4 linked regions of the Arabidopsis thaliana genome follow. The protein of the gene in region 1 interacts with the protein of each later gene in a pairwise test. Each region holds a gene or a part of one and is shown in the gene's direction. Other genes may lie near its edges.

Region 1 (7,578 bases):
TCTCTCTCTCTTTCTCTCTGTCACACTCTTTATCACTCTCTGCTCTCACAGATCGGAGAATCTCCTCTGAGAGCTCTAATCTCTCAGCTTTCTTCACCGGCGTCTCCGGATCTAATAATCCTGTAAGGCCTGTAAGTAATCTCATTTTTATTTTCAAGATTTATTTGCGATTTCATCTCTTTTATGCTGAATTTGATTTTCGATGTAGCCTTGTTTTAGCTATCAGTATTACAATTAGTTATCACTGTGATATATATCTTCTCTGAAGTATTATGTTTGCGTTTTGAAGCTACTGCAGAAAAAAGATTGAATTTTTACAATTTGGGGTGACTCAATTTTGTTGACTAGAGTGTTTGGAGATATTTCTAACTAAATGGGAACAATGCACCGCAGGTATAATTTCCTTAACTGATAGATTGTAATACAAAAAAAAGAGTTTTTTTTCCAATATGAAGATTACTACTTAGTGGTTAGTTTTGCAGTGGTGCTCCTCGAAGAACGAATGAAAATGCAAAGGTTATTATTACTACTATTTTGGGGATAGTGTTTGGGACTTTTATTGGTATCACATTACCTTCACTTTCGTTTAAGGTATGAGTTTTGTTTTTCATAGGTCCTTTTATGTGTCCCTTTCATTTTTGCACCTGTTGAATTTTGTTTCGTATTCCTGCAGATTAACTTACCCTCGCGCCTTATATCATCTCTTGATGTAGCCATATCTGGTGACAAATCCCCTGAAGATTTCGGTTCAAGAAAGTTTCCTGAGGTATATAATAAACTTCTTGTTCGGTTCCCTTTCGTTAGCTTTTCGATTATGTTCTAGAATAGTGCCTCATTTCAGATGAAATGTATCGTTTCTGTATGTTTGATTGCAGATATATGTTCCAACTAACCCGCGTGGTGCAGAACTACTACCTCCAGGAATCGTTGTGGCGAAAACTGATTTTTACTTGCGTAGATTATGGGGAGAACCTAATGAAGTATTGACTTCTCATTCTATATTTACTTTCTCAATATATATGGTTTTATCTCTGAAGGCCATTAGAATAGTTAATGTCAAAACAATAACCTTTGCAGGATTTGAAGAAGAAGCCAAAATATCTTGTGACATTTACAGTTGGATTTGAGCAGAGGAACCATATTAATGGAGTTGTTAAGAAGGTTCTGCAATATCAGCATGTGTTTTAGCAAGTATTGTTTTATATATTCTTTGTGGATACACTCAGATTTTTTGTTTTCTTGTCATATCTTCAGTTTTCTGAAGATTTCCAAATTTTGCTCTTCCATTATGATGGCCGGACAACTGAATGGGACCAATTTGAGTGGTCGAAGAGCGCGATTCATATTAGTACAAGAAAGCAAACAAAATGGTTAGTCATCTGGTCATTTACCGGTTATTAAGTATGTTTGTCGAGTATGTTTTTATCGAAATTCTCTACTGGTTTTGGCAGGTGGTACGCGAAGAGGTTTTTGCATCCTGATGTTGTGTCAGCTTATGAGTACATATTTATATGGGATGAAGATCTTGGAGTGGAGCATTTCAATGCGGATAAGTAAGTTATTACTTGTCTGAAGTAGCAGAACAATCTTATATTTTACATTTTGTGATGGAATTCTATTAAAACTTCAGGTACATTGAGTTAGTTAAGAAGCATGGTTTAGAGATTTCTCAACCAGGCTTAGAGCCTAACAATGGACTCACATGGGAAATGACAAAGAGGAGAGGTGACCGGGAAGTCCATAAGTAAGATCTCCTTCTCTAACCATTCTTCTTTGCCTTTCTTTCAAATTTGGTTCTGAATTAAGAAATGTGTTGTTACTTACTGTTGAACAGAGATACAAAAGAGAAACCAGGATGGTGTAAAGACCCACATTTACCTCCATGTGCCGCGTAAGTCTCTCTTTGAAACGTTCTCTTTAGAGCAACTCAAGAGTGTTTAGTCATTGTCAGTACTGAGTTTTCTGAAAAAAATTCCCTCTCACAGGTTTGTTGAAATAATGGCGCCTGTATTTTCTCGAGAAGCATGGCGATGTGTGTGGCATATGATTCAGGTTCGTCGATCTGTAGATACATAGTCCTAGTCTTAGTCCATCAAAATAATGCTTGTTGTTTTGATCAGTTTGTTTATGTTTCTGATGCAGAATGATCTGGTTCATGGATGGGGTCTCGACTTTGCGCTTAGAAGATGCGTTGAAGTAAGTTGTTTTTGCCCCCCCCTTGCTTACCTTAATAACACAATATTCTCTTGACTGATGATGAAAATTTGTGTGTTTTGCTTTTGCAGCCTGCTCATGAGAAGATTGGTGTTGTGGATTCGCAATGGATAATACATAAAGTGATACCTTCACTTGGAAGTCAAGGAAAGTCAGAGAATGGGAAAGCTCCATGGCAAGGAGTGAGAGATAGATGCAAAATGGAATGGACAATGTTTCAGAACCGATTGGCTGATGCTGATAAAGAGTATCTTGGGAAGATGGTGAAAGATTAGATTTGTTTTTCTTTTTTCTTTCTATATAATTAATATATTAAAAAAACTTTTACTTTTGTATATCAAATATTTTACACTAAATTAGGTTTTCATAGGACATGTGTGAAGCCCTTTTTATTGATATTGTGTAAGATTTATACATTTTGATTGAGCTTTATTATGTTGTTTGTTACTTTCTCCATTTCAAATTCTTAGATGTTTTTAAAAAGAAATTGCTTTCACTAAACAAGAGAGAAGTGAAACATGTAAAAAAAAAAAACTTTAGAAAACAAAGGTGTAATAGAAGTGGTTGTTATTACATAATCTTTTTGACTTCTGAAAAGACAATAAGAAAACAAGACTTATAACCAGTTTCATGATTTATCTATTTCACCCAATTTCATAAATTGGCTATTTTATATTTGCTCTCAATAGGTAACGTAAATGGTAGAGAAATTAAGGAGAAGAGAAGGGTATTGGTATGGACTTTGGAGTGAGTGTGAAGCTTTACACCAAATCCAAATAATTTCAATTTTCATTTTAGTTTCTATTTTACAATATTTTGCCCAATAGAAAAAGTATGAGAAATTCAGTTTCACCTTCCTTTTTGCTTTTAGTTCAAGTCAATTGTTTGTCCATAGAAAACCATACAATGTCTCCCTCCATTGGCTGTTTCATTTCAGAGTCTTTTTTATGGTTAAGAATTTGCTATCATATCATTAGTAGAAGTCTCTTATGAGGAAAAACAAATATTAAGCAACATCATTATAGTTTTTCTCATGTATCTTGTGCGTAATTATGTAAATGTCATAATTATTAAAACATGAAATTAGGAAGAACAGAAGTTTGGTGTTAGACACCAACCATTTTTATACAAACAAATAATAAAAATCTCATTATATCACCTTTGCATTTCATCACTCATCACATTCACAATCCTTCTCTTTTTCTCACATCAATATATATCTCTCTTTCTCTCTCTTCATTTGATAGATTTGAAGATTTGAGAGGAGAGAGAGGAAGAAAAAATGGGAGAGATGAAGAGTATGCAAATGGGTGTGATTGGAGCATTGTTTCTATCAGTTGCATCTTCTGTCTCCATTGTCATTTGCAACAAAGCTTTGATGACCAATCTTGGTTTCCCTTTTGGTAATTACTAGTACTTTTTTTTTTTGCTTTGTGAGAATATATTTTGTAAGATCTTTATCAAAAACCCGATTATTCGTCTTAGGATTGATCGCTTTTTTGCTATGGTTTTGTTACAGCAACAACACTTACTAGTTGGCATTTGATGGTAACATATTGCACACTTCATGTGGCATATAAACTAAACTTCTTTGAGAATAAACCAATAGACATGAGAACTGTTGTTCTCTTTGGCCTCCTCAATGGCATTTCCATTGGTCTCCTCAATCTCAGCCTCGGCTTTAATTCCATCGGCTTCTATCAAGTATATATCTTCGACATACTTTTGATCATGTAACAATTATATGATTCACCAATTTGATGTTTGTCCATAACTAATGGCAGATGACCAAACTTGCTATCATACCATTCACTGTTCTTTTAGAAACCCTCTTCCTCAACAAGAAGTTCAGGTGAACCAAACTTGATACATAAGATTATTTTAATTTTTATTGTTTACATAAATAACTTTTTTTTGAATGACATATTTTGGTTTTGCAGCCAGAAGATAAAATTCTCATTGTTTTTGCTGCTAGTTGGGGTTGGTATAGCATCAATCACAGATCTTCAGCTCAATTTTGTTGGCTCTGTTCTATCTCTCCTTGCCATTGCCACAACTTGCGTCGGCCAAATTGTATGCTTTAAGTTTCATTAAACTAATGTTTAATAACTAATACATAGTATAATTAATATGACTATGAAAATGTTGTGGTGAAGCTAACAAACACTATCCAGAAGAGACTGAACGTGACATCAACACAACTCCTATACCAATCAGCCCCGTTCCAAGCTGCTATACTCTTCGTCTCGGGTCCTTTTGTCGACAAATACCTCACTAGCCTCAATGTTTTCTCCTTCCATTACTCTCCCATCGTCGTGGTAATTTTTTACATCGTTAATTCCATTTATTCCCAATTGGTGTTAAAATAGAATTAGAATCATTGTCCTGGATCGGTCCAGCCCATTTTCGCATGGCCCCTTAGAGCCGTGCCCATGTTGAGCCATGATTGTATCATAACGTCCCTAGATAGATACTAAAATTTTGTGAAATTTGACAATGATGAATCATGCAGGGGTTCATAACGTTGTCGTGTTTGATAGCGGTTTCGGTTAACTTCAGTACGTTTTTAGTGATTGGAAAGACATCTCCGGTGACATACCAAGTCTTGGGACATCTCAAAACGTGTTTGGTGCTCGCATTTGGTTACACTCTCCTTCACGATCCCTTCACTCCTCGTAATATCGCAGGAATACTCATCGCTGTCCTCGGGATGCTTCTCTACTCCTACTTCTGCTCAGTTGCTTCTAAATCCAAACAAGCCTCCTCCGATTCCACTTTTCTTGTACGTTAACCACACAAAAAGAAAAGATAGAAATAATGAGTGTTGAAAGTTTCTAAGTACTTTGGTTTTATTCCTTTTTTGACAGGGGAAAGATAGAGATACGACGCCGCTTTTGGGACAAGAAAATGAGAACCATCATGAAGCCAAGAAATTAGACAAGCATTCTCCAGTATGAAATAGTACAATAACTCTTTCTTTATGTTTCGACTCTATAATTGTGTCCCTTTTTTTTGTTCATTCATTGATAATGTTTTTGTAATTGAGAAAAAATTGAAATAGCCAATGGGCATTTTCTCTTCTTTTTTATATTTACATTTCCTATTTCATTTCCTCCTTTTTGGATCTTACAAGGATTATAAAATTATTTTCTCTCGTACGTGTTCTTTGGTTTATGTTAGTGTTCTTCAAATGATCAAATGATTGTTTTCTATTAAGAAGATAAAATAAAATAGTATAGTACTAAATAGTGTTTAAAATACAATTAGTTTCAAAACGGTTTTGGACTTTTCGGTGATTAAAATGTGATAAATTATGAAGTTTTTGAGTTTATGGAAGAAAAATGATGGGCGATTTGACATATGCATATAATTATTATCGGTTTTTAGGATAACAGGAACCAGAAATTTCTAATAATTGAAATGCTTTATGCTCTTATTTTTCCTTTCCATATAAAAAATTTAAATGCAATTTATAACATATATACATATAGATATGTATATTGTTAAATATTACATGTGCGTTACGTCTAACGTTTACGAGAATTCATCCTCTGTTCACATGCTACGTTGTCGTTGTTGTTTTATCTTTCCATGAATAGTATATGTATAACATTTTTATGTTATGGTCTTATGGACCTACAAAGAGAATTGGCAATGAAACTTTCCCTTAAAAGCGAATAATTTTTTTAATTAAAAACTAGTGGTTGTGAGACTTGCAAGTTACGAATGACAAAAAAAAAAAAATAATAATAATAAATGAGAAATGGTCTTCAATCTTCATCAATAGGCCAACTTGTTTGCAACAACCAACAATCCAACTAAAAATCATTTTAAACAAATTATATGATGATGACTTATTCCTACAAATTACTACAGTTTTGGCCTTTTGTCCAACGATGTTGTGATACGTTTCTACATATTTCTCAATCGATCAACGCTAATGCTTATTTTTCAAGATTACTATTTTGTCTCCATGTGTTTTCAGAGACTATGCCTTGTCTTTGTTGGTTGGTTTCACTTTCTTTAGCCATTTTTTTTTTTAAGTCTCCACTCATATTGAATTAGTTAATTTAGGAGTTGGCAAAATAAAGTAAAACTATGGCTTGCATTTTAGTATAAGTAGTTTCTGTATGTGAATGTGATTAAGCTCCCAAGAGTTTTGTCTTACCTCTTGTTGTGATATGTTTATTTTGATTTTCTACCCAATAACATATCTTGTAAAGCGTTTATAACAAAGTAGTGTTTGATGGGTACAAACCACCCAGATGAGCTATATGACTTTTCATTTGTTTGTTTTTGAGCCACTGAGTGACATATAATCTAAAATTGTGCCACTTTCCCATTAAAACCATATGTTTTCAAGCATAATATCTTAATATCAGTATTTTAAAATTAAAAGCAAGATACTATTTTATCCACTTTGGAGAAGATAGATATTTGGAAAATTTGATAAGAATACTAATAAGAGTCTGATGCAATTTGCACATTAACCATTGATAAATAAGACACAACAAGCTCACTTCCGAGAAAAGAGTACAAAAATTAATATTACTCTAGTATAGTTACTTTAATACTTCAATGTTGTATATGATCAATGTACCACGCTAAATCTATTAAATATGTGATTTATACAAAAATTTACATGTGAACTATTTTTTAAAAAACTTTATCTACCCAGAGATTAGTTTTGAACTCCTCCACAGGTGGTGAGGATTTATCTTCAATTAACAGGAAAAAAAAAGTTTATCATCATTCACTCTAATAAATTTATTTCTCCAGTTTTCCATCTTCATTTTTTGAAAGTAATATATATTAAAACTTGTAAATTTTAATTTTATAAAATATTTATATTTTACAGTTTATAATTGTTATTAAGTAACGCTATACCACGAATCCATGAGACAATTGTTAAAATTTTTAAGTTTTAACCCCTATTAAAACAGCATATTAAACATATTTCAAAATTTTATAAATATTGATTCAAATACATCTACCATATAACCCAATTCCAAAATAAAACCCGTTCTGTAATTTCTTTACCCGTCCCGTGGTTTTTTTAAAAATAGTAATTTTTAAAATTTAAGAATTATTTTTTATATATAAAAGTTTTGCAAATTGTATCATTCTCTAATACATTTATATTTTATAGTTTAATTTTATATATAATAACATTATACATACCACATAACATTTTTGGTTTTATATAACCTTTTCTAAATTAGGATGATTTGATATGTTTAATATTAGTGGTCTTAAAATATAATAAATTAAAGATTTAATCCGTATTGAAATTGTGGATTAATTATATTTTACTTTTTTATTAATGTTGATTCAAAAACCCGTCCCTCCAAATCCGTCTTGCCA
Region 2 (6,538 bases), on another chromosome or scaffold:
ATATTTATAAAGCTAAGTGGTAATTTTTTCTAAGGACAGAATATCAAGTTTAGTTTGTACATCTTTGAAATTTAACATTTAAGTTTTGAATAAAAAGAATATATATAATTAAAATTTGCGTTTAATCAACGGATTACTTGACGAAAAAAAAAAATCAACGGATTACTTACAATATTATTCTTAAAAAAGCCTTAAAACTAAATTTAAATATGTGAAAATATGTTGAACTTATAATACGCAGGAGTTACAGACTAAAAGAACAGGATGCTAAACGCTTTCAAGTATTTAAATTTCAACATTTAAGTTTGAAAACATTTTGTTAATAAACTTTTAGCTTTAAAATATCAAAACAGATTATTTTTGAAAAAATCTTAAAATTAAATTTAAATATGAGAAAACATGTTGAACTTATGATAACGCACGAGTTACATACCTAAAAGACGGGATGTTAAATCTAACCGTTCCAGTATTTAAATTTAACATTTAAGTTTAAAAACATTTTTGTAATAAAAATATTTTATATAATAGAAAAACTTTTAGCTAACAATTTTCCCTTTTCGGTAAGACAACTTCGGTAAGACAAAATTACCCTTTTCCGTTACAACGGTCATATATTTTTTTACAGCGTAACAATTTTCCTATGGCCTATGTGCGTCATGAGTCAAATAGCTTGAACAAAAGCGGAGCAGTTTAGCTAGACTAACCGTTAGTGGGATAACATACGCATTTTTTATTCGTATATTTTAGTGTTTACCGTGAATATTTTAATTAAAACATAAAAATATTTTTTCCCCTAATTCTTTAATTTTGGTTTTCATTTTCAAGTCCGCCAAAAAAAGCGAAGAGAGGGTTTTAATACGATTCCACTCTTCTCAACAAATTTGACGTTTTTGTTCTTCGAAATTCAAATTCACCCAGAAAAAATCTCAATCCGCGATGGTTGAAGAATCAGCTTCTGCGTCGGAAGCTTCGGTGATACAAACCCTAACCGAGCCGGCGACGGAGATTGCGCAAACCCTAGAACCTAACCTAGCCTCAATCGAAGCCACCGTCGAATCGGTTGTTCAGGGAGGCACTGAATCGACTTGTAACAACGACGCTAATAACAACAACGCCGCTGACAGTGCTGCTACTGAGGTTTGTGATGAGGAGCGTGAGAAGACGCTTGAGTTCGCTGAGGAATTGACGGAGAAAGGCTCTGTGTTTTTGAAAGAGAACGATTTCGCTGAAGCCGTCGATTGCTTCAGCCGTGCTCTCGAAATCAGGTATCTTTTTGGGAGATTCATTTGAGAATTTGTAGTCGAGAACCTCTCAATCAAGGGTTTAGGGTTTCAGATGTTTCTGAATCTAGTTTATGCTCGAATGATCTAATCATGGTTCTGAATTTTTAGTTGAGTTTCAATTGTGTGTTCTCTCGACTGAATTCTTTAGTATCTGGTCCTTTTATCAAAGGATCTAATGAAAACATTGCTTGTTTTAATGGTATGGTTAGGGTTGCACATTATGGTGAACTTGATGCTGAGTGTATAAACGCATACTATCGATATGGATTAGCTCTCCTGGCAAAGGCTCAAGCTGAAGCTGATCCACTTGGGAACATGCCTAAGAAAGAAGGTGAAGTTCAGCAAGAGTCCAGCAATGGTGAATCGCTGGCTCCTTCTGTTGTTTCAGGTGACCCAGAGAGACAAGGGAGTTCAAGTGGGCAAGAAGGTATGGATTATTGGGAATTGTCTTAGGTTAAGCTTATGGGTATAGATGCTTCTGCTTCTTTGTTTGCTGACTTCTTTTCTCCCTCATGTATAGGTTCTGGTGGTAAAGACCAAGGAGAGGATGGTGAAGATTGTCAAGATGATGACCTATCTGATGCTGATGGTGATGCTGATGAAGATGAGTCTGATTTGGATATGGCCTGGAAAATGCTGGACATTGCTAGGGTTATTACTGACAAACAGTCTACTGAGACAATGGAAAAAGTGGATATACTCTGTTCGCTTGCTGAAGTGTCCTTGGAAAGAGGTATTTTTTCTTCCTTTCACCTTTGCATTGTCTTATTTTCTCATGTCAGCTATTGGTTGGTTTTGAGTTCTGTTGTTTACTATGCAGAGGACATTGAGTCTTCCCTGTCTGACTACAAGAATGCATTATCCATCTTAGAGAGACTGGTTGAGCCCGACAGTCGACGCACAGCTGAATTGTATCCTTGTGGTTTCTTAAATTGTACCTGATTTTCGTTTCTGTCAATTCAGTTGTTGGATTATATCTTAACTTGAACGTTTCAGAAACTTCCGCATCTGCATTTGTCTTGAGACTGGATGTCAGCCTAAGGAAGCAATACCATATTGTCAAAAAGCTTTGTTAATATGCAAAGCTCGGATGGAGAGGCTCAGTAATGAAATCAAAGGTGCATCTGGTTCAGCAACTTCCTCAACCGTCTCTGAAATAGATGAAGGCATCCAACAATCATCCAATGTTCCTTACATTGATAAATCTGCTTCAGACAAAGAAGTTGAGATCGGAGACTTAGCTGGTCTCGCTGAAGATCTAGAAAAGAAGGCAAGTAAACTAAACCTATCAGTTCATTAAAATATCTCTAAACCCATACTAATGTCCAACATTTTTTTTCTGCAGCTTGAGGATTTAAAACAACAAGCAGAGAACCCAAAGCAGGTTCTTGCTGAGCTAATGGGCATGGTATCAGCTAAGCCAAATGCCAGTGACAAGGTTGTTCCTGCTGCTGCTGAAATGAGCTCTTCTAGGATGGGAACTGTGAACACCAATTTCGGGAAAGATTTAGAGTCGCCTACAGTCTCAACCGCTCATACCGGTGCAGCAGGAGGAGGAGCAGCATCAGGTGTTACTCACTTGGGTGTTGTTGGAAGAGGAGTGAAGAGAGTTTTGATGAATACAACCTCGATTGAATCAAGTGCATCAAAGAAACCAGCTCTAGAGTTTTCAGACAAAGCAGATGGCAACTCCTCTTGAAACCGGAAAAAGGTATAAAAATTCCTGTTACTAGTGAAGTATCTAACCTAAGAAAACTGAGAAAAACATTTGGTATCTTCCTCATGAATCTTCCAAGACTAGATTTTCAGGTTCATGTTTTGTAATGGAGTCCGTACTTGCTACTTTTTTAAATCGCTGAGATATTTTTTACTTTTTATTCTTGTTTAATCAGTCTTATTTTTTCAAAGTGTTTTTTAGTTTAGGCACAAAAGCAGAATCTTATTATCACATTATCAGTTGATAATCATCTGATGAGAAATAGTTCTTTGGAGATCTTTTAGGGAATTTTATAAGTAATAATTAAGGGATAATTGGATATCCTTTATTAAAAAATGTAGGCTACTTGTAGAATTAAAAACTGGAATCTTATAATATGATTAGTATAATAAGATTACGCTATATCTGGATTCTGGAGATATCATAGATAAGCTCTGTCTATGAAAACGAGACCCTTGGGGAAGCCACGTGTCAAATCTATCTCTGTCACCAGCGAAGCCTACGTGGCGAGCAGCTCCTAGAATATCCAAATTCACAACAGTATTTTTTTTTCTTTCGTTCTGATTCAACAGTTGTCACAAACAGCCAAGGTGTTTTGTGATTGGTTATAAATACTCTGCTATGTGAGAGAGTTTACTACATTCACAAACAAACTAAAACTTAAAAATGGGAAGGGGTGAGTTTTTGGCCATGAAGACTGAGGAGAACGCGGCTAACCTGATCAATTCCGATATGAATGAGTTCGTCGCCGCTGCAAAGAAGCTCGTGAAAGACGTAGGGATGCTCGGCGGGGTAGGTTTTGGCACGTCAGTCCTCCAATGGGCCGCTTCAATCTTCGCTATGTGAGCCAAAAGACAAAACCATATAACCTCTCTGGTTTTTGTTTGAATCATATATTGATATGATGGTTCTTATTGTTTTGCTTTGACAGTTATCTGTTGATATTGGATCGTACCAACTGGAAAACCAAAATGTTGACCACCCTTTTAGTACCATACATCTTTTTCACACTTCCTTCGGTTATCTTCCAGTTCTTTAGGTAATCAAGAAAAACTGTTCTTTAACATGATGTTATGGAGTTCTTTTGAAAATATAATCCATATTCGATATAATTTCACAGCGGAGACTTTGGGAAATGGATTGCTCTCATCGCGATCATAGTCAGGCTTTTCTTCCCTAAAGAATTTCCAGGTCAGAACCAGCAGTTTTCATGACTTAACATTAGTTTGAAACTTTGATCTTGAAAATCTTCTTTCTTTTTTGCATATAAATGTAGAGTGGCTAGAGATTCCGGTAGCATTGATTCTTATTGTGGTGGTGTCGCCGAGCCTTATAGCTTGGACACTAAGAGAAAGCTGGGTTGGAGCAGTCATATGTCTAGTAATAGCATGTTACCTTTTCCATGAACACATTAAAGCTTCAGGTGGATTCAAAAACTCTTTTACTCAAAAGAATGGAATCTCCAATACCATTGGGATCGTTGCCCTCCTCGTTTACCCGGTTTGGACCATCTTCTTTCACATCTTTTAAGTCAATCCGACCCATTGGTTTGTAGACACATTCAACATTTTGTGTCTTCAATTCGTTTTCAAGGTTTGAATTTTATAAGGAGCATTTGTGTTTGAGAAAGTCTTGAATATAAAAAAGAAGTTTCAATCGTGCACTGCTGACTTGTAAGATTGTTTTTTTTTTCTTGTAAATGTGTGACTTGTAAGATATATAAATAAATTTGCATATTGGTTGATTTGTTGAATCAATCTTGAATATTGTAGACTTTTTAATTGATCATGACTAATAGTTGTTTTTTGAAAATTGTTTTTCATTTCATTAACACCAAACAATAAAGCAACACAAATTTCTATCACCTCCTAGCATTGAACTACGTGCCGTTGTTCGTATCCAAAAGTGTATATTCTTGTAATCATTCACCGTCAAAGCTCAAGTAGTTAGTAGCACCACACCAGATTTCCAAAGCACAAAGCTCATGACTAGCCTTACCTACACACTCGATGAAATCGAAGGCCCTTTCGAAGTTGATTACGCAGCAGTGACAGTACACAACTTCCTGGTGGGGAGCGTGTACCGTTCTTGTTCACGATCAAGCAGCTCGTGGCATCGCAGAGGATACTTTGGTCCCAAGTCGATCCCTTCAGCATTCACCCAAGGCCACGTTGGAAATAAATCTGATCGTAAAACACAACATCTGCAGATTATTATCAATAAAAATTCAGAAATCAATAAAATTCACTCTGAAAACGCAGAAAATCTAAGGTAAATTCATAACGACCTTTTGAATTTCTAGTGTCGAAGCTGTATTGAAGAAGAAGAAGAAGATTCCGAAGCTAACAAAGGAGAAGACGAGAGTGGATTGATTGCTCCTCTCTCCTCTCTGATGATATTCGTGCTTCTACACTCACAGAGATACACTGTTTATTATTGTTTTCAATATATGAGAGGAGGAGCTTCCCTACTATTTTTAGTTTTTTAGCCAATGAGAGAGCTCCACTTCATACCCCACTTTTACCAATCGTGCGATTTCACAGCCACTCTCACCCATGTCGCGTTGAGCGCGTGTCTACGATTTCTAAAGGGGTTATTAATCCACAAAATTTATGCCTTTTTGAATCCACGCACCTCGTTCTTAAAAACCCATCGCGTGTCTTATTTGTTTTGGTTTTCTTCTCTAAACCAAATTAAACCGAACCGAGATCAATTTGAATTTCGAAACCAATGTAAACCCATCGCTGTGAAAACAAAAAGCTCGGCCACAAAAATGGAGACGACACAACTTGGAAGAGAAATCAACTCGAAATAGCCAAGAGAATGTTCGTAAACCCCCTCAAATCCGATGCTTCCTTTGATTCCAACCTCCAAAAGCCCATCTGCTCAAATCCGAGGAGTATTACAAGGTACCTCTATAGAATATCAAGGCTATGACAATGCGGTTGCATTACCTGCTAGAGGAAACAATGAGGAGCTAGCTAAGGAGAACAACAAGATCACACTTAGTGTAACAAAGAGTAATCCCGAGAGCGGTGAAGTGATTGGTGCTTTCGAGAGTATTCAACCTTCAGACACTGATTTGGGTGCTACGACTCCTAAGGATGTCAAGATTCAAGGAATCTGGTATTGCCAACTTGATGAATAAAACATAGAGAATCTGTTTGTTTTCTTTTTCTGTAAATGTTGTTATGATTAAGGAATATTGATTCCAGTTCATAGTACATGTGGTACTCCATTTGGTAACACTTTGCACTTTTGGCTTTAATCAGATACTAATTATTGTGATTAAAAGACTAATTATTGCGGATTAAGATAACATATTTGTAGATCTGTATAATTGCTTGTAACAGCAAAGATGATTTCTGGTTAAGAAGTAAGAAGAGATTTATAATTAAGCAAACCATTTGCCTTATGACCCCATTGTTGTCACATCCACTTTGTCTTTTCACCTTCCCTGTCTCAAAAAACAGAGGACCCTTGCTCTGTTTCTTAACCCTGTTTTATCTCCTACTCAAAGTTCAAATCTTTTGCGAAA
Region 3 (8,206 bases), on another chromosome or scaffold:
TTTTGAGCAGCTTGTCATTTGAGACTCCATCAGCTACAAGCATTGAAGTTATCTCCTGCAACAATACAAATCGAAACAATGATAAAGATACACATCTTCTAAAGCATTTAGGTTCTCATAAACAAAAACAGTGCATACCTCAGCCATTTGTTTCTGTCCGCACAGCACCGCTCCCGTGGCCTTGGGAGCTGATAGCTGTTTAGCCCTTGCAAAAGCAGCCTATACAACACATTATGTATATATTAGTTTGATCCACATTGAGTTACAGCAGACTTGACTAAGGAGCACGTTTCTCAATCTCACCTGCACATATCCAGTTTCCCCTTTCCACCCATCATCTGGCTGTGATAATACCGGCACAACTTTGACACCCGCTGATTCCCACTCTTTAAACTTTTCCTACAAAATCAAGAGCGTTTCCAAGATGATTCTTCTGTAGATCAAAATGAGAGCGAGAGATAGGCTTTACGCTTATCATCAAAAGATTTTTATAATTCAAGCACACACATTTATATCTACTGACATCATGAATTGCAAAACAACTGAGAGAAAGAACCAAACCTGGTAAGCCATCCTATTCAGGTTCCTAGCCCCGTAATAGAGTCTTACGTCAGATCTTCTATCAGCGCCAAATCCTGATTCGATTAGTGAGCGGATGGGGCTGCAGAGATAAGAACATGTGAGATTACATTCCAAATTGAAGACAGTTACTTAATTCACATCACCATCACTAAACATTTTTGATTGACCAGGCCTAGAACAATAGATGATTGAAAGAAACACCTTTACTTGGCATAAACAACAGATCTGATCGATCACCAAAGTCATAAAAACATTGACCTTTCATACATGAAACTCTATTTCAGTATTACAACATCATCACAGTAAAAAAATAGCCACAAAATTGGTCCATGGCACCTTTGGATAGATTGAAATCATACTGGAGTTCACAAAAAAGGTCCACAAAAAAGCAATTGAACCCGGCATCACAGAGGATTCACCGCAAAATGAGTAACTAAACTAGATTCAAGATACTTGAGTTTGAAAGCTTTGTATCTAGCTAATGCTCTGCACTGAAACCTTTAAACTAGACCACACTTGGATCATTGAATACATGAAGTAAAAAAGACAACTTCAGCAATCCAACAAGGTAGGAGAGAAAATGGAAAAAGCTCTCACCTAATTCCAGATCCAGTGGCGAAAATCAAAACGGTGGGATATTCCTCAGGAGGATCAATCAGATCGATATTGAAACCATTACCCATCACAGAGCTAAGCTCAACGGTCTCTCCTTTCTTCAACCCGCAGAGAATCTCCGCGGTAGAACCAGCGATGCTCTTGACCAAGAATTCGAAAGCACCACGAGAAGACGCCAAGGAAGGAGGAGAAGCGATTGCCATAAAAGAAGGCTTCTCAACATCAGGAACACGGATCTGGAGATACTGACCGGGTCTCGTGTACGAAGCTACGAGATCCGGAGCGTTTGAAATGTCGATTGAGATGTGGAAAAGCGATTCTGCAGCTGATTCGATTAGAGAGAGAGGAGCTGGAGTCCAGAGGGAAGCGTCCTGGCGAACGGCGGCGGCGGATACAACGGAAGCGACGCGGTTATTTCGGGATAAACGGAGATGGCGTGTAAGAGGGAGATGGCGCAGGATAAACATGGGGGAGAGGGAGTGGCTAAAGTGCGCATGGGTGACAGAAGGCGCGAAAGGAAGAGTGGACATGGTGGAGAGTTTTTGGGGCTCTATATGTGACCGTCAAATTTAGCCGGCGGTAGAAAAGGGCGGCCCGATTGGTTCGGTGGCACGATTGTGTTATTTTTTTTTGCTATGCACCTAATTTCCTTCCGTTACAATGTTTTGCCACGTGGATGATCAAAATATCATTCTATCTACTTTCCGACCACTTGTTGTGATACTTCGAAAATTGCATTCCCTCTTCATTTAATTTTGCTAGCTCGTCTTTCAAAGAAAAAACACCAAATCATGTAATTAAAAGACAGAATTGTGGAAGAAAAGTGACAAGCAATATGCATATTAAAAAACGTAAGAGTACATTATCAATGAACACTCCCTACCGTTGAGCCAAATTTAACGTATATATTTCATTCATGGTTTTGGAATTTTGCCAAGTGGCACTACACTATAGATTCCCTTGGTAAGGAATTACACATAACCAAGCACCAAAAAGCAGACAGTAGTACTTCACGATTATCACTCACCACTTTCCGTTTCAACTTTCAAACTCTCTCTCACAAGCCATGCAAGACGCGGAGAGAACCACCAATGATCCGGTAGACAGAATTGAGAAAGTGACATGGAGAGATCTGCAAGACGGATCTTTCACCGCAGAACTCAAGAGGCTTATCTGCTTTGCGGCTCCTATGGCTGCCGTGGTTATCATTCAGTTCATGATACAGATAATCTCAATGGTGATGGTGGGTCACCTCGGTAGACTCTCCCTCGCTAGCGCTTCCTTCGCAGTCTCCTTCTGTAACGTCACTGGCTTCAGCTTCATTGTTTGTTTTCCTTTTCCTTCTTTCCTCTAAATTGACGCACTTATCTCTGTTACTAGCTACCAGAACCATGGAAATTGCATCCTCTCCTCACTTTCTTGTTACTTTTTGATGATAGATAGGATTGTCATGTGCCTTAGATACTTTGAGTGGTCAAGCTTATGGAGCTAAGCTATATCGGAAACTAGGTGTTCAGGCTTACACAGCTATGTTCTGTCTTACTTTAGTGTGTCTCCCTCTCTCTCTCCTATGGTTCAACATGGGAAAGCTTATTGTGATCCTTGGCCAAGACCCTGCTATTGCTCACGAAGCTGGTAGATATGCCGCTTGGCTCATCCCAGGACTGTTCGCTTACGCCGTTCTTCAGCCGCTCATTCGCTACTTCAAAAACCAGAGCTTGATCACACCTCTCCTCGTCACCTCTTCTGTTGTGTTTTGTATCCACGTTCCTCTCTGCTGGCTTTTGGTTTATAAGTCAGGGCTTGGTCATATTGGAGGAGCCTTGGCTCTCAGCTTGTCATACTGGCTCTATGCCATTTTCCTTGGATCTTTCATGTACTACTCCTCTGCCTGTTCTGAGACACGCGCGCCGCTTACCATGGAGATATTCGAGGGCGTTAGAGAGTTTATCAAATATGCTCTTCCTTCTGCGGCTATGCTTTGGTACATCACTTTTCTCTGTTCCTTTTTCACTTCTCATTGCCTCCACATTTTTTGTTAGAAACTCTTTTATATATGGGTTGCAGCCTGGAGTGGTGGTCATATGAACTCATAATATTACTTTCTGGTCTGTTACCCAACCCACAGCTGGAGACTTCTGTGCTCTCTATCTGGTACTCATCCTTGCATCTTTCCATTTCCTGTCACAATCTTGAATTTGCAAAATCATAATGTTATTCATACTACGGACAGTTTCGAAACACTTTCAATAACTTATTCAATACCACTAGCGATCGCGGCTGCAGCAAGGTTAGAGCTTTTGTCACCACTATCCAGTACATAAATGCTGAAGTATACTTTCTGTTATGGTTTCATGTTCATAAGCAAGTACATTGTGCAGCACAAGAATCTCAAATGAGTTAGGAGCTGGAAACTCTCGAGCAGCACATATTGTGGTCTATGCGGCAATGTCTCTTGCAGTAATGGATGCATTGATGGTGAGTATGTCTCTATTAGCCGGCAGGCATGTTTTCGGCCATGTTTTCAGCAGTGACAAGAAAACCATCGAATATGTTGCAAAGATGGCTCCGTTGGTCTCTATTTCTATCATACTGGACAGTTTACAAGGGGTTCTCTCAGGTTCGAGATTTTTTCCCATTTCGTTTCTCAAACATAAGCTAGTGTCGAATATACAGCTCCAAGTTGTCATGCCTGTTCATGTTGTACTCTTTTCTGCCATTCTTCTAACCCTCGTTTGATGGTTGGAAGGTGTTGCAAGCGGATGCGGGTGGCAGCATATAGGGGCTTACATAAACTTCGGAGCTTTCTATCTCTGGGGGATACCCATTGCAGCATCTTTAGCCTTCTGGGTTCATCTGAAAGGTGTTGGCCTTTGGATTGGAATACTAGCCGGTGCAGTTCTGCAGACTCTTCTGCTGGCTCTTGTCACAGGCTGCACAAACTGGAAAACCCAGGTCCTTTCCTTTGCTTTTTGTCTTTCATGACATGTTTCTATTTTGGAATAAACATATCGATGTTCAATTGGATGCATTTTGAACTCTAGGCCCGTGAAGCGAGGGAGCGAATGGCTGTGGCCCATGAATCAGAACTTACAGAGTCAGAACTTCCCATCTAAGATTACAGGGACACAGATGTTCCTCCTATTTTACCATTTTTGTAGCAGCCAAATCGTTATATGTTACTGCTGGACTAGTGGTTGCCGTGAATAATTGGTCTTTTCTTTTGTAATATTAGCAGCCCTCAGCAATCGTTATTTCGATGAAGCATTATTCTGGTAGTTCAGAAATACCTTGGACAGAAAATGATGTAGTGATCCAATTCTGCTGATACCAGCTCGCTTATACCTGTAACACAGTAGTTGCGAGTCAGGAAATAGATGTGGGAGCTGCTTCTGAGTCTTGGAGCTAGAGTTTTCAATCACTGAAAATGTTTCTCGACACAGACCTTCACAAGTGTCTCCACAAGTAATAATGACAGGATCACACATATATTACTATCACTAGAAAAATATAACCACCAACAACGTTGCTTTATGTATTCAAACTTTCTTACGATGATGACAATATAGTTTGCAAAATGCATATTAAAAAAAGAAAACGCAGAGAGCCAAGAGTCAGCATCAGTAATCACGCCACAAAAATAAAACGCAGAGAGCATATTAAAATGTTGAATTAATAGGTGGAATAAAGTGACGATTATGTGTTACAAAAATGAAAAATATGGTTTTGTATAAAAACACCAATGTGGCAATGTACATAGTCTTAAAGAACAACACGTACTAAAGCACAAAAAGCAGACAGTAGTTCTTCACTCACACCACTTTCAGTTTCAAATTTCAACTCTCTCTCTTTAGTGTCTCTCTAGCCATGGAAGACGCAGAGAGCACCACCAAAGATCCTGTAGACAGAGTTGAGAAAGTAACATGGAGAGATCTGCAAGACGGATCTTTCACCGCAGAACTCAAGAAGCTTATATGCTTTGCGGCTCCTATGGCTGCCGTGGTTATCACTCAGTCCATGTTACAGATCATAACAATGGTGATTGTGGGTCACCTCGGCAGACTCTCTCTCGCTAGCGCTTCCTTCGCCATCTCCTTCTGTAACGTCACTGGCTTCAGCTTCATTGTTTGTTTCCTTTTCCTTTTTTCCACTAAAATTGACGCACTTATCTCTCTTACTAGCTACCAGAACCATGGAAATTGTATCCTCTCATCACTTTACTGTTACTTTTTGATGCTAGATGGGATTGTCATGTGCCTTAGATACTCTCAGCGGTCAAGCCTATGGAGCTAAGCTATATCGGAAACTAGGTGTTCAGGCTTACACAGCTATGTTCTGTCTTACATTAGTGTGTCTCCCTCTCTCTCTCCTATGGTTCAACATGGGAAAGCTTCTCGTGATCCTTGGCCAAGACCCTTCAATTGCACACGAAGCCGGAAGATTTGCTGCTTGGCTCATCCCAGGACTGTTTGCTTACGCTGTTCTACAGCCGCTTACTCGCTACTTCAAAAACCAGAGCTTGATAACACCTCTCCTTATCACCTCTTGTGTTGTGTTCTGTCTCCATGTTCCTCTTTGTTGGCTTTTGGTTTATAAGTCAGGGCTTGATCATATTGGAGGAGCCTTGGCTCTCAGTTTGTCATACTGGCTCTATGCCATCTTTCTTGGATCTTTCATGTACTTCTCCTCTGCTTGTTCTGAGACACGTGCACCGCTTACCATGGAGATATTCGAGGGCGTTAGAGAGTTTATCAAATATGCTCTTCCTTCTGCGGCTATGCTTTGGTACATCACTTTTCTCTGTTCCTTTTTCACTTCTCATTGCCTCTACATTTTTTGTTAGAAACTCTTTTATGTGTTGCAGCCTAGAGTGGTGGTCTTATGAACTCATAATATTACTATCTGGTCTCTTACCCAACCCACAACTGGAGACTTCTGTGCTCTCTGTCTGGTACTCCTCCTTGCATCTTACTAACTCTCGTCACAATCATGAATTTGCCAAAACATAATGTTATTTATACTATGAATAGTCTCCAAACACTTTCGATGACTTATTCGATACCACTAGCGATTGCAGCTGCAGCAAGGTTAGAGCCACCATTATGCTGTTCATAAATGGTCAAGCATACTTGCTGTTCATGGCAAGGAATCATATGGTTTCATGTTCATAAGGGGATGTTTCTTGTGCAGCACAAGAATCTCAAATGAATTAGGTGCTGGAAACTCTCGAGCAGCACATATTGTGGTCTACGCGGCAATGTCTCTTGCAGTAGTGGATGCATTGATGGTGGGTACGTCTCTATTAGCTGGTAAGAATCTGTTGGGCCAAGTTTTCAGCAGTGACAAGAATACCATCGACTATGTTGCAAAGATGGCTCCACTGGTCTCTATTTCTCTCATACTGGACAGTTTACAAGGGGTTCTCTCAGGTTCGAGAACTGTTCCTATTTCTTTTCTCAAACATATACTAGTGTCGAATATTATGTTATGCACTTTTTAGTCAAAGATAACTAAAGGTGAACTCTTTTCTGCCATTCCTAACCCTCATTTGTTGGTTTGCAGGTGTTGCAAGCGGATGCGGGTGGCAGCATATAGGGGCTTACATAAACTTTGGAGCTTTCTATCTCTGGGGGATACCCATTGCTGCATCTTTAGCCTTCTGGGTTCATCTGAAAGGTGTTGGCCTTTGGATTGGAATAATAGCCGGTGCCGTTCTGCAAACTCTTCTGCTGGCTCTTGTCACAGGCTGCATAAACTGGGAAAACCAGGTCTTTTTCCCTTTTCTTTTGTTCTTTCTTCTTCATGACATGTTTCTATTGTGAAATAAACATATTGATGTTCAGTTGGATGCATATTTGAACTCTAGGCTCGTGAAGCGAGGAAGCGAATGGCTGTGGCCCATGAATCAGAACTTACAGAGTCAGAACTTCCCTTTTAAGATAACGGGGGCACATATGTTGTTCCTCAGGTTACACCATTTTGGTAGCAGCCAAATCGTTGTATGTTACTGCTAGACTAGCGTTTGCCGTGAATAATCGGTCTTTTTTGTAATAATACCATATGATACATCCCTCAGCAATCGTTGTTTCGATGAAGTTTCATCCTACTTATTCAGAAATACTTTGGACAGAAAATGATGCAGTGATCCCATTCTGCTGATACCAACTCGCAATCAGACTTGTAACACAGTAGTTGCGAGTCAGGGAAAGATGTGGGAGCTGCTTCTGAGTATTGGGGCAAGAGTTTTCCATCACAGAACCATTTCTCGACACAGACCCGTTCATAAGTCTGTCCAGAAGCAACAATGACAGGATCACGCATAAGCTGCAAAGATATCTGTTCTTCTGGTGGAATGAAAATCTGTCCTGATTTCCTACTGTTCATAAGCTTATAGTTGATAGAACCAAACTTCGATAGTTGGCGCCCAAACGCATGAACACGATGTTCATTACAACCTTAACCAGAGTCATTTGTCATCCACAATTTCACTTCTGAATAGCTTGGAGTACTTTTTCATGAGATGCAAGATGTAAGCCACAATGGAATCCTTCCCCTTGTCTTCTTCCACACTTTCCCAGTCAATGAGTTTCTTTAAAGCATGTCGCCTCCACCATAGCTGATCTAGAAGAAGTTCTACTACGTTCCACCAGAGCTGTCACAGGAGTTGTCAAATAGTTCAATTACCCGATCACCAACACTGAATCTGAAGAAATCACAAATCAAAATTAGAATTCGCAACTAGGAACTAGCAGATACCAAGTTTTACCAATCCGAACTCTAATTTCAAGAAACAAATAAACACGAGGGTATGCTTGTGTAATCAAAAAAACAAAAGACAAGCAAGTAGCTAGCAAGAGATACATAAGCCCTAATGTGAAAAAGGAAATGTGTTGTGCACTAAAACAGACATCACCTGAAACCCACTTGATCTAGGAACAATGTCCTCCATGCGTCTAAGACTTTTCATACATGCATATTTTGGTTTCTCAATTTCTACGGTATAGCATCC
Region 4 (8,093 bases), on another chromosome or scaffold:
TGCATAGTTAGGCTCTTGTCCGGTATAAACCATGAGTGTAATTGAAATTACTATGGTTCTAGTCGAATATAAACTTTAGTAAGAATTTACATAACTTAGTGAAACTTCTCTTTTTCTCATGTAAATGGCACTGTCTTCTACTCAGAATTTTTTATATGCCATTTGTGAATTTGTTTCTAATTGATGTGTATAATGATGTTGGTAGACAACTGGAGTGTGAAGGCAATCCGTAGAAAGACTACTGGAACTGGAAGGATGAGGTATCTTCGCAATGTGCCTCGCAGGTTCAAGACCGGTTTCAGAGAGGGTACTATATTCCACCATTTCCACTGAGTTTTCTTTGGTTTTCAGTTAATCAGTTTGTATCTGTATGAAATGGCTTTTGTATAATTTAATTGTTGGACGTTTTCCAGGTACCGAAGCCAAGCCAAGGAACAAGGGAGTTGCTTCATCAGCTTAAACTTGTTTTTGAGCATCAAGGGAGAGAGAATTCTGAGTTTGTTGTTCACAAGATTACTACTCTTAAGTGTCTGATTATGACTATCTTTTTGTGTGGTCTTTGCGTTTTTAAAGTTTTGGACATGGATGGATTTCAATTTGCAAGTCTTTTAATTCTCTTTATTCTAATCATTATGGTTCCTTGCCAGTGGTGTGTCCGTCCGACAGATAAAGACTTGGTAAAGTCATTATACTCTACGGCCCACTTATATCGAATACGTATTCTTAGGTTCACTAACATTCATAATTAAGGTGAGTTGCTTGCAAATTTGCTCATAGGAATTATGGTGTTTCTATATGTATAATATGATACTATGTCTTGCAGCCAAAATTTTGAGACGAGTGTCGAAATTATATGTCTAAGATTAACATAATATCAAACAGAAAATCTTTGAAATCATTATAAACTTGAAGTTAGAGCTGAGAAGTCGGACTCGTAGACTTAAATTGTGGAGATGGGCTTATGAACGAAGAAAATGGACTTGTGAACTGAAAATATGGGCTTTTGATCTTAAAAGGTAAGGAGATGAGCTTATGAGTTGAAGACTTGAAGAGATGGGTTTCTCGTATCTAGGTTTTTCTACACTTCAGTGTCCTCGTCCACGATGATAATTGGGTCACCTTGACGGATTGCGATTGTGGTCTTACTGTCTTAGTCTGCATGAATGCTTTGATTTTATGAATTTCCATGGACACCAACAATGTTTTTCATGCAATTTGCTTAATCAAGGATAATATGCTAAGAGTTCTATAATATGTATCTTTGTGACCAATTAAAAATGTGGTATGTATTTGGTTGAACCTAAGTGATCGTTACAAAACATCGAAAACATTTATTTTCTTTAAAACCTAAAATACATTTGATCTAGTGATAGCGAAGCGAATTGTAGAATAAGCGGATTAAATAATAGGGTGTGATTAGTTTTGAACAAGCGAAGTAGAATAATGTATAAAAGGTAAGAGTAGTTTTGAAAATGGATATTCTAAAAATGAAATTTCTCAAATATTCTACAAAAACTTATGTAAAAAATGTTTTTTTAACACTGGATGACAATTCTTTGAACCACACCACACCTAATTTTTTTTTTCTTCCTCGTTTTGAACGTAACAAAAATTATTTTGCATAACTCAACCTATAAAGAACCAACAAAAACAACCATTGTGTGAAACCCAAGAAAAAAAAAAATGCATTTCTTTGTTGACTCTTGGTTATCACAAAATGGTTCGTGTTGTTTGCTGTTTTGCAATTTACTATTGAGCTGTGACTTGAAATTTGATATGGTTTAATTCGAAGTTGTTTTGGTTTCTATTCGTACCAAAGACAAATACGATTATTTTTCCCAATTAACCTTATCATTAAAATGATCTTGAGATTGCATTGCCAAATCTATATAAATTTTTTTGATGCATAACAAAGCAATGGATTTCCATTATTAGTAATCCTTGATTCACAGATTTTGTCTTGAAAACATTGTTGGATGAGATTTCGTTTTGTGTTTTTCCTTGTGAAAACGTAATTGTTTTCGGTTATTATATTTCTTCTGTCAAATATATATGGTTCCTGATAATTGCTTCCATTGATTACCTACTTGTCGTCCGTACCCTACCACATTAATTGTTTTTCTTTTTATTATGTAAATGATTAACATAAAAAAAACTCCGGAAGCATAGGATTGGTTAATAAACCGGGTATCTGGCTGGCTTCACCGCGTACAATTTATTGAGCAAACAAAAAATAGAAGGAGAATGCATATACCAAGATACAATACTTGGAAAATGATGTGGAATTAGTTGTTCAAAGAATTCAATAATTCTCAACTTGATGGGTACCTTAGGGAGAGATACAATCCACAAACCAAAGATCACGGTAAATAGTAGTACTAGTATGTTTTTTCATATCTTTTGTTGGTCCCTTTGATTCTTTTTTACTTTTAAAGACAAAAAAATTAATGGCAGACAAGACAATGTGAATATACTTATGTAGTCGTGCTTGTTTTTATACAGTAGTAAGTATAAATTTGATTAGATAATTTTACTATATACATTATAATATTAATTTTACAAAATAAATTTGATTTATAGTTTTAAAAAAATTTTAGTTATAAAAACACCATAAAAATTAGATCTAAAAATTATTTTCATGAAATCGGATTTTTCCGAAACAATTTTACTGTGGATTAGAAAGTCGGAATTTGATTCCATCGATTTTTTATTTTTTTATTTTTTGCAAAAAAATCCGATCGAATTGAATATTTACTAGACTAATTTTTTTTGGCTGGACTAGTTTTTCTCTAAAATTAGTCAAACTTGAAAATATAGGCTAGTTTAGTCCGTATAAAATAAGTTCTAATTTGACATATTGTATCGAGTCATCCAAAATCATATAAAAAATTGTGTATAAAAATTTTAAAATTTTTTTTTTAAAAAAAAAAAGCAAAAAAGTTGACTTATATGGTAAATTTTTCTTAAAGATTCTAAAAATCATTAGTAAATTTTATTATTTTAAAAATGTTGACTTAATGATTATATTTTTAAATAAAAAACATAAGATGAATTTGGCTCTTTATTAGTTCTTCTTTTGATGGTTGGTAAGTGTTAACTGACTAACTGAGAAACAGAGTGACGAGAGAATTAAAGAGACACTTGCCAGAAGAACAAATCTCTCAAGTGGGACGGGACCCACCGCATGTCCCTTTCTTCATTCTCCTTCGTCTTCGTCTTCTTCGTCTTCGTCTTCGTCTTCACTTCCGCCATGAGAAAAACCTGCACACACGCCTGAAAAACCAAATCATCCTCATCATCTTCTGATCTAATGTCTACCGACACTATCCCTTCCCTCTCATCTCCACCGGCGCCGGAGTTTCCTTCCACCACACCAGACACGGCGACGTCACCAGCTCCGTCTCAGCCATCCATCATCGGACCTTCTTCGTTGGCTCCGTTTCCGGAGACAACAACAAACATTGATGGAGGCTCGAGAAATGTAGCATTAACTGGACTTATTACTGGAGTAGTTCTCGGAGCTACGTTTGTCCTACTCGGAGTTTGTATCTTTGTCTGTTTCTATAAAAGAAAGAAGAGGAAGTTAAAGAAGAAGAAGAAAGAAGATATCGAAGCTTCTATTAACAGAGACTCACTAGATCCCAAAGGTACTTTATTTAGGGTTTCTTTATTTCCAAAGACTCAATCTTTTTTTAATGATTATTCAATTCCTCTGTTTTTGTAGATGATAGCAATAATCTTCAGCAATGGAGTTCATCAGAGATTGGACAAAACTTGTTTACATATGAAGATTTGTCTAAAGCAACTAGTAACTTCTCCAACACTAACCTTCTTGGACAAGGTGGGTTTGGTTATGTTCATAGAGGAGTTCTTGTTGATGGAACTTTGGTTGCTATTAAGCAGCTTAAATCTGGAAGTGGACAAGGTGAACGAGAGTTTCAAGCTGAGATACAGACTATTAGTAGAGTTCATCATAGGCATCTTGTTTCTCTTCTTGGTTATTGTATCACTGGTGCTCAAAGATTGCTTGTTTATGAGTTTGTGCCTAATAAGACTCTCGAATTTCATTTACACGGTGAGTTTTTTTTAAAAGACTTGTTTTCAGTTATGCTTGCGTGAATTCCCGCAGTTTTGTTTGAATTATGGTGGTTGTTTTGTAGAGAAAGAGAGACCGGTAATGGAGTGGTCAAAGAGGATGAAGATTGCTTTGGGTGCAGCTAAAGGATTGGCATACTTACATGAAGATTGTGAGTATAATGTTCTTGTCTTTGAGTATTGTACAACATTAGTTTCTGAAGTTTTTGTCAAGGAGATTTTGTTTTGTTTCAGGTAATCCTAAGACAATACACCGCGATGTCAAGGCTGCAAATATTCTAATTGACGATAGCTATGAGGCGAAGGTATTCTTGAACTTGTAAAACTATATAAAAATGTTGTTTAGACTGCACTACTAATAATGCTGAACTTGGTTCATCAGTTAGCAGATTTTGGACTTGCCAGGTCTTCTTTAGACACTGATACTCATGTCTCCACTCGGATTATGGGAACCTTCGGGTACGAAACACTCTTTTCTATACGCAACCATAACCATAATAAGTTCATAACATACTAACAATCTTTTAAACTTCTTTCTTGTGATGCAGTTACTTGGCTCCTGAATATGCTTCTTCAGGGAAACTTACTGAGAAATCAGATGTCTTCTCAATTGGAGTGGTGCTTCTTGAACTGATAACCGGACGCCGTCCTGTTGATAAATCACAGCCTTTTGCTGATGATGATAGCATCGTTGATTGGGTTGGTTATCTTGTTTCCCTTACCACCACTTTTAATAAGCTTTTAAACTTTACCTCATGCTCTAGGCAAAACCTCTGATGATACAAGCGTTAAACGATGGAAACTTTGACGGTCTTGTTGACCCGCGGTTAGAGAATGATTTTGATATCAACGAAATGACGAGAATGGTTGCTTGCGCTGCTGCTAGTGTCCGTCATTCAGCTAAACGTCGCCCAAAAATGAGCCAGGTACTAACTATCACATCAAAACCTTTTGGCAACATTCAATCTAACACTAGGATAAAAAATGAAACTTTGTGAGTTCAATGGTGTCATTGTTCTTTGGACAATTGCAGATAGTTCGAGCATTCGAAGGAAATATATCTATAGATGACCTAACAGAAGGAGCTGCCCCAGGACAAAGTACTATTTACAGCTTAGACGGGAGCTCAGATTATAGCTCAACACAATACAAAGAAGACTTGAAGAAATTCAAGAAAATGGCGTTCGAAAGCAAAACATTTGGTAGCAGCGAATGCAGTGGTTTGACTAGCGACAATGGTCAGAACCCATCAGGCTCGTCTAGTATCACCGAAGGCCAACGTACAACGCAGGAGATCGAACCGGAGAAGAATACCAAGGACACATGAACTTTAAACAGAGGATTCTTGGTAATAGTTAAGTCTTATCATTTTGGGGTAGGACCCGTAGGTTTAGGTGTAAAACACATTATTCATTAGACGCGCTTTCACTTTTAATTATTTCCATGTGTGGCTCTAATCGAAACTGTCATGAGCCTGATATTGCACGTGAATATTATTTGTTGGAGATTTTTTTGAGTTTGGTGTGAAGATATTAAATTAGATTCAATCAAAGACTTTATGATTCTTAATTATTTTTTGGCCGTGATATATTATTTGAGTGGAAAGTTATTTTTAACATCTTTGATTCTTTTTTTAAAGCATGTTTTCTTTTGTTATCCATGCAACTTTGAAGAAATTGTTTTTTTTTTTGCAAATGAAATCCCATATATATATTAACCGATTTTAGATTCAGAGAAATAATATTTTTATAAGCATGGTGTTTGATTTTTGGTTGAAGGAGTAATTATTAGTATAGTTAGTACATAAGTCAATGGTAATTAACAAAACATTTGATAAAGTAAACATAATTAGACCGTTTGAAGATTTCTTCAAGTATAATTAATTAATTTTTTAAATTGTTTATAATAAGATTAGTTAATGACTAATTAAAGGAGGGGCAATTTTGGGAAAATAAAAGATTTTAAAATAGTAACTTTGCTGTTATTTAGCTAATACAGTATATACTTTTTCTGTAAATCACACGAAGAAGAAGAACCAAAAGAGAGAGATTGTGAAAGAAGAAAACAGAGACAGTTTCTTCGCTGAAAAGAAAAACCAAATCAGCTAAATCCCTAAAAGTTTCCGTCAATGTCTTCTCGCCGGAGAGTTCTTCTCAAGGTTATCATTCTCGGTGATAGCGGGTAAATTCTCTCATCTCTTCAGATTTCAGATTTGATGTGGTTTTATTTGTTCATTGAATGATGAGATTTTGATTCTTTTTTTATGGCCAGTGTTGGGAAGACTTCGTTGATGAATCAGTATGTTTCTGAAATCCAGATCTATGTGTCTCTTACTTAGAACATTGATAAATTCCTTATGAAATTTGATTTTGATTGATTCTATTTTGATAGGTTTGTGAATCGAAAGTTTAGTAATCAGTATAAAGCTACGATTGGAGCAGATTTTTTGACTAAAGAGGTTCAAATAGATGACAGAATCTTCACTTTACAGGTATTCTTTGAATCAATCAAACATTTTGATTCTTAGAATGTGATTGGATCTTAGGTTCCTACCTTTTTGGGTTTATAATGCAGAAAAAGTCAAAATCTTTCTTTGTTGAGGTTCAAATTTGTGTGCTTCTTAGGAAGATACAGTGTTTTTTTGGTTGTCTATAGAGATTTATAGAACTATTACTAATACAATCTCTTGGTACATTATATAGATTTGGGATACTGCTGGACAAGAAAGATTTCAAAGTTTGGGAGTTGCGTTTTACCGAGGAGCGGATTGTTGTGTTCTTGTCTATGATGTCAATGTTATGAAATCTTTTGATAATCTTAATAACTGGAGGGAAGAGTTCTTGATTCAGGTAACACTAATCCTCTTTGTTTTTTTCTTTCTTATAGAACTTTGTAGTTTGAGAATTGTATTGCTATAAACCAAATGCTTCTTTGTGGTGTCATTGTTTAGGCTAGTCCTTCAGATCCTGAAAACTTTCCATTTGTTGTGTTGGGGAACAAGACTGATGTTGATGGTGGAAAGAGCAGAGTGGTGAGACGTTATCTTCATTTCATGAAATACTTAAGTGTCTAGAGTTTGGTTATGCTAAAGTTATCCTATATTTGTCAGGTTTCTGAGAAAAAGGCAAAGGCATGGTGTGCATCTAAAGGAAACATTCCTTACTTTGAGACTTCCGCCAAAGAAGGATTCAATGTAGATGCGGCTTTCGAATGCATTACCAAAAATGCTTTCAAGAATGAACCTGAAGAAGAACCGTAAGTACAAACATATCTTACTGCTTTTTTTTTTTTTTTTGGCAAATTTGCATCACTTCAAGTCGTCGTAGTCTTATCTTCTGACCGTCTCTGATACCTCTCGTAGGTACCTTCCCGACACCATTGATGTTGCCGGAGGTCAGCAACAAAGATCAACAGGGTGTGAATGCTAATCAAGCAAAAGTTTGTTGCAGATACATTGTTTTGTTTGGCACATTTTGATTTTGTAACAATATATTTATAACTTCCAGAAATGTATTTTCAGATTCATTTTGAGTTACAGATTGTAATGAATTGGGTTCCTTTTTCTTTTGGACTCTATACTGATACCAAAATCCAACTTAATTTCGATTCTAGAAGGGGTTTGAATTTGAAGGATACATTGGACGGTTTTTGTGGGATCTTGTCTCTGAAAGCGATGAGAATTTGAAGATCGATCGTCTCTCAGCGTTTTTACCAATACAAAAAAAGTTAAATAATAAATACGGGTTAAGCGTATCTGATTGGGGCAATGTGTAAATATTATTAACTCTTAAACTAAATGTGTAAATAAAAATAGTTGACTTTGTCAAATATAGATAACACAACTGAGAAAATCAATTTCCTCTACCGGTAAGCAAATCATAAGAAAACTAGGAAGTGTCCCCAAAATCATAGCATACACTATATTTGTAGCTTATTATATATTCTTCAATAAAAAAAAAGTAGCTTATTATATATTGAGAAATGTTTAGATTTTTATG

The links.
Region 2: the proteins of AT2G28315 (region 1) and AT4G37220 interact in a protein complementation assay, tested with the Arabidopsis thaliana proteins (one large-scale study listed by BioGRID).
Region 3: the proteins of AT2G28315 (region 1) and AT1G15150 interact in a protein complementation assay, tested with the Arabidopsis thaliana proteins (one large-scale study listed by BioGRID).
Region 4: the proteins of AT2G28315 (region 1) and PERK15 interact in a protein complementation assay, tested with the Arabidopsis thaliana proteins (one large-scale study listed by BioGRID).

Annotation. Positions count from the first base shown.
Region 1 is NC_003071.7:12,085,400-12,092,977, forward strand, and holds AT2G28315 (Nucleotide/sugar transporter family protein), read left to right. Parts: upstream 1-3,267; 5' UTR 3,268-3,496; coding exon 3,497-3,617; intron 3,618-3,733; coding exon 3,734-3,918; intron 3,919-3,998; coding exon 3,999-4,066; intron 4,067-4,154; coding exon 4,155-4,287; intron 4,288-4,370; coding exon 4,371-4,532; intron 4,533-4,726; coding exon 4,727-4,996; coding exon of another isoform or gene 4,997-5,005; exon of another isoform or gene 5,006-5,081; coding exon 5,082-5,171; 3' UTR 5,172-5,366; downstream 5,367-7,578. Other genes in the region: AT2G28310 (trimethylguanosine synthase (DUF707)), read left to right, coding at 374-393, 483-591, 674-766, 876-980, 1,078-1,161, 1,255-1,370, 1,452-1,553, 1,631-1,744 and 4 more. UniProt on the Arabidopsis thaliana protein: Nucleotide-sugar transporter that transports UDP-xylose and UMP in a strict counter-exchange mode.
Region 2 is NC_003075.7:17,511,440-17,517,977, forward strand, and holds AT4G37220 (Cold acclimation protein WCOR413 family), read left to right. Parts: upstream 1-3,602; 5' UTR 3,603-3,666; coding exon 3,667-3,842; intron 3,843-3,931; coding exon 3,932-4,039; intron 4,040-4,120; coding exon 4,121-4,191; intron 4,192-4,276; coding exon 4,277-4,530; 3' UTR 4,531-4,723; downstream 4,724-6,538. Other genes in the region: AT4G37210 (Tetratricopeptide repeat (TPR)-like superfamily protein), read left to right, coding at 937-1,265, 1,493-1,710, 1,804-2,016, 2,104-2,194, 2,280-2,553, 2,629-2,982; AT4G37230 (Photosystem II manganese-stabilising protein (PsbO) family), read left to right, coding at 4,985-5,189, 5,922-6,148.
Region 3 is NC_003070.9:5,210,411-5,218,616, forward strand, and holds AT1G15150 (MATE efflux family protein), read left to right. Parts: upstream 1-2,064; 5' UTR 2,065-2,263; coding exon 2,264-2,521; exon of another isoform or gene 2,522-2,636; coding exon 2,637-3,181; intron 3,182-3,264; coding exon 3,265-3,351; intron 3,352-3,430; coding exon 3,431-3,487; intron 3,488-3,578; coding exon 3,579-3,817; intron 3,818-3,946; coding exon 3,947-4,152; intron 4,153-4,241; coding exon 4,242-4,313; 3' UTR 4,314-4,632; downstream 4,633-8,206. Other genes in the region: AT1G15140 (FAD/NAD(P)-binding oxidoreductase), read right to left, coding at 1-55, 139-219, 304-399, 562-661, 1,180-1,727; AT1G15160 (MATE efflux family protein), read left to right, coding at 5,065-5,322, 5,438-5,982, 6,062-6,148, 6,228-6,284, 6,388-6,626, 6,760-6,965, 7,064-7,135; AT1G15165 (RING/FYVE/PHD zinc finger superfamily protein), read right to left, coding at 7,309-7,570, 7,707-7,849, 8,111-8,206.
Region 4 is NC_003070.9:19,467,580-19,475,672, reverse strand, and holds PERK15 (Protein kinase superfamily protein), read left to right. Parts: upstream 1-3,090; 5' UTR 3,091-3,310; coding exon 3,311-3,647; intron 3,648-3,724; coding exon 3,725-4,075; intron 4,076-4,160; coding exon 4,161-4,247; intron 4,248-4,329; coding exon 4,330-4,400; intron 4,401-4,477; coding exon 4,478-4,554; intron 4,555-4,643; coding exon 4,644-4,794; coding exon of another isoform or gene 4,795-4,859; coding exon 4,860-5,021; intron 5,022-5,128; coding exon 5,129-5,422; 3' UTR 5,423-5,853; downstream 5,854-8,093. Other genes in the region: AT1G52300 (Zinc-binding ribosomal protein family protein), read left to right, coding at 206-307, 414-460; RABG3d (RAB GTPase homolog G3D), read left to right, coding at 6,224-6,276, 6,367-6,393, 6,487-6,586, 6,798-6,944, 7,046-7,126, 7,205-7,350, 7,457-7,523.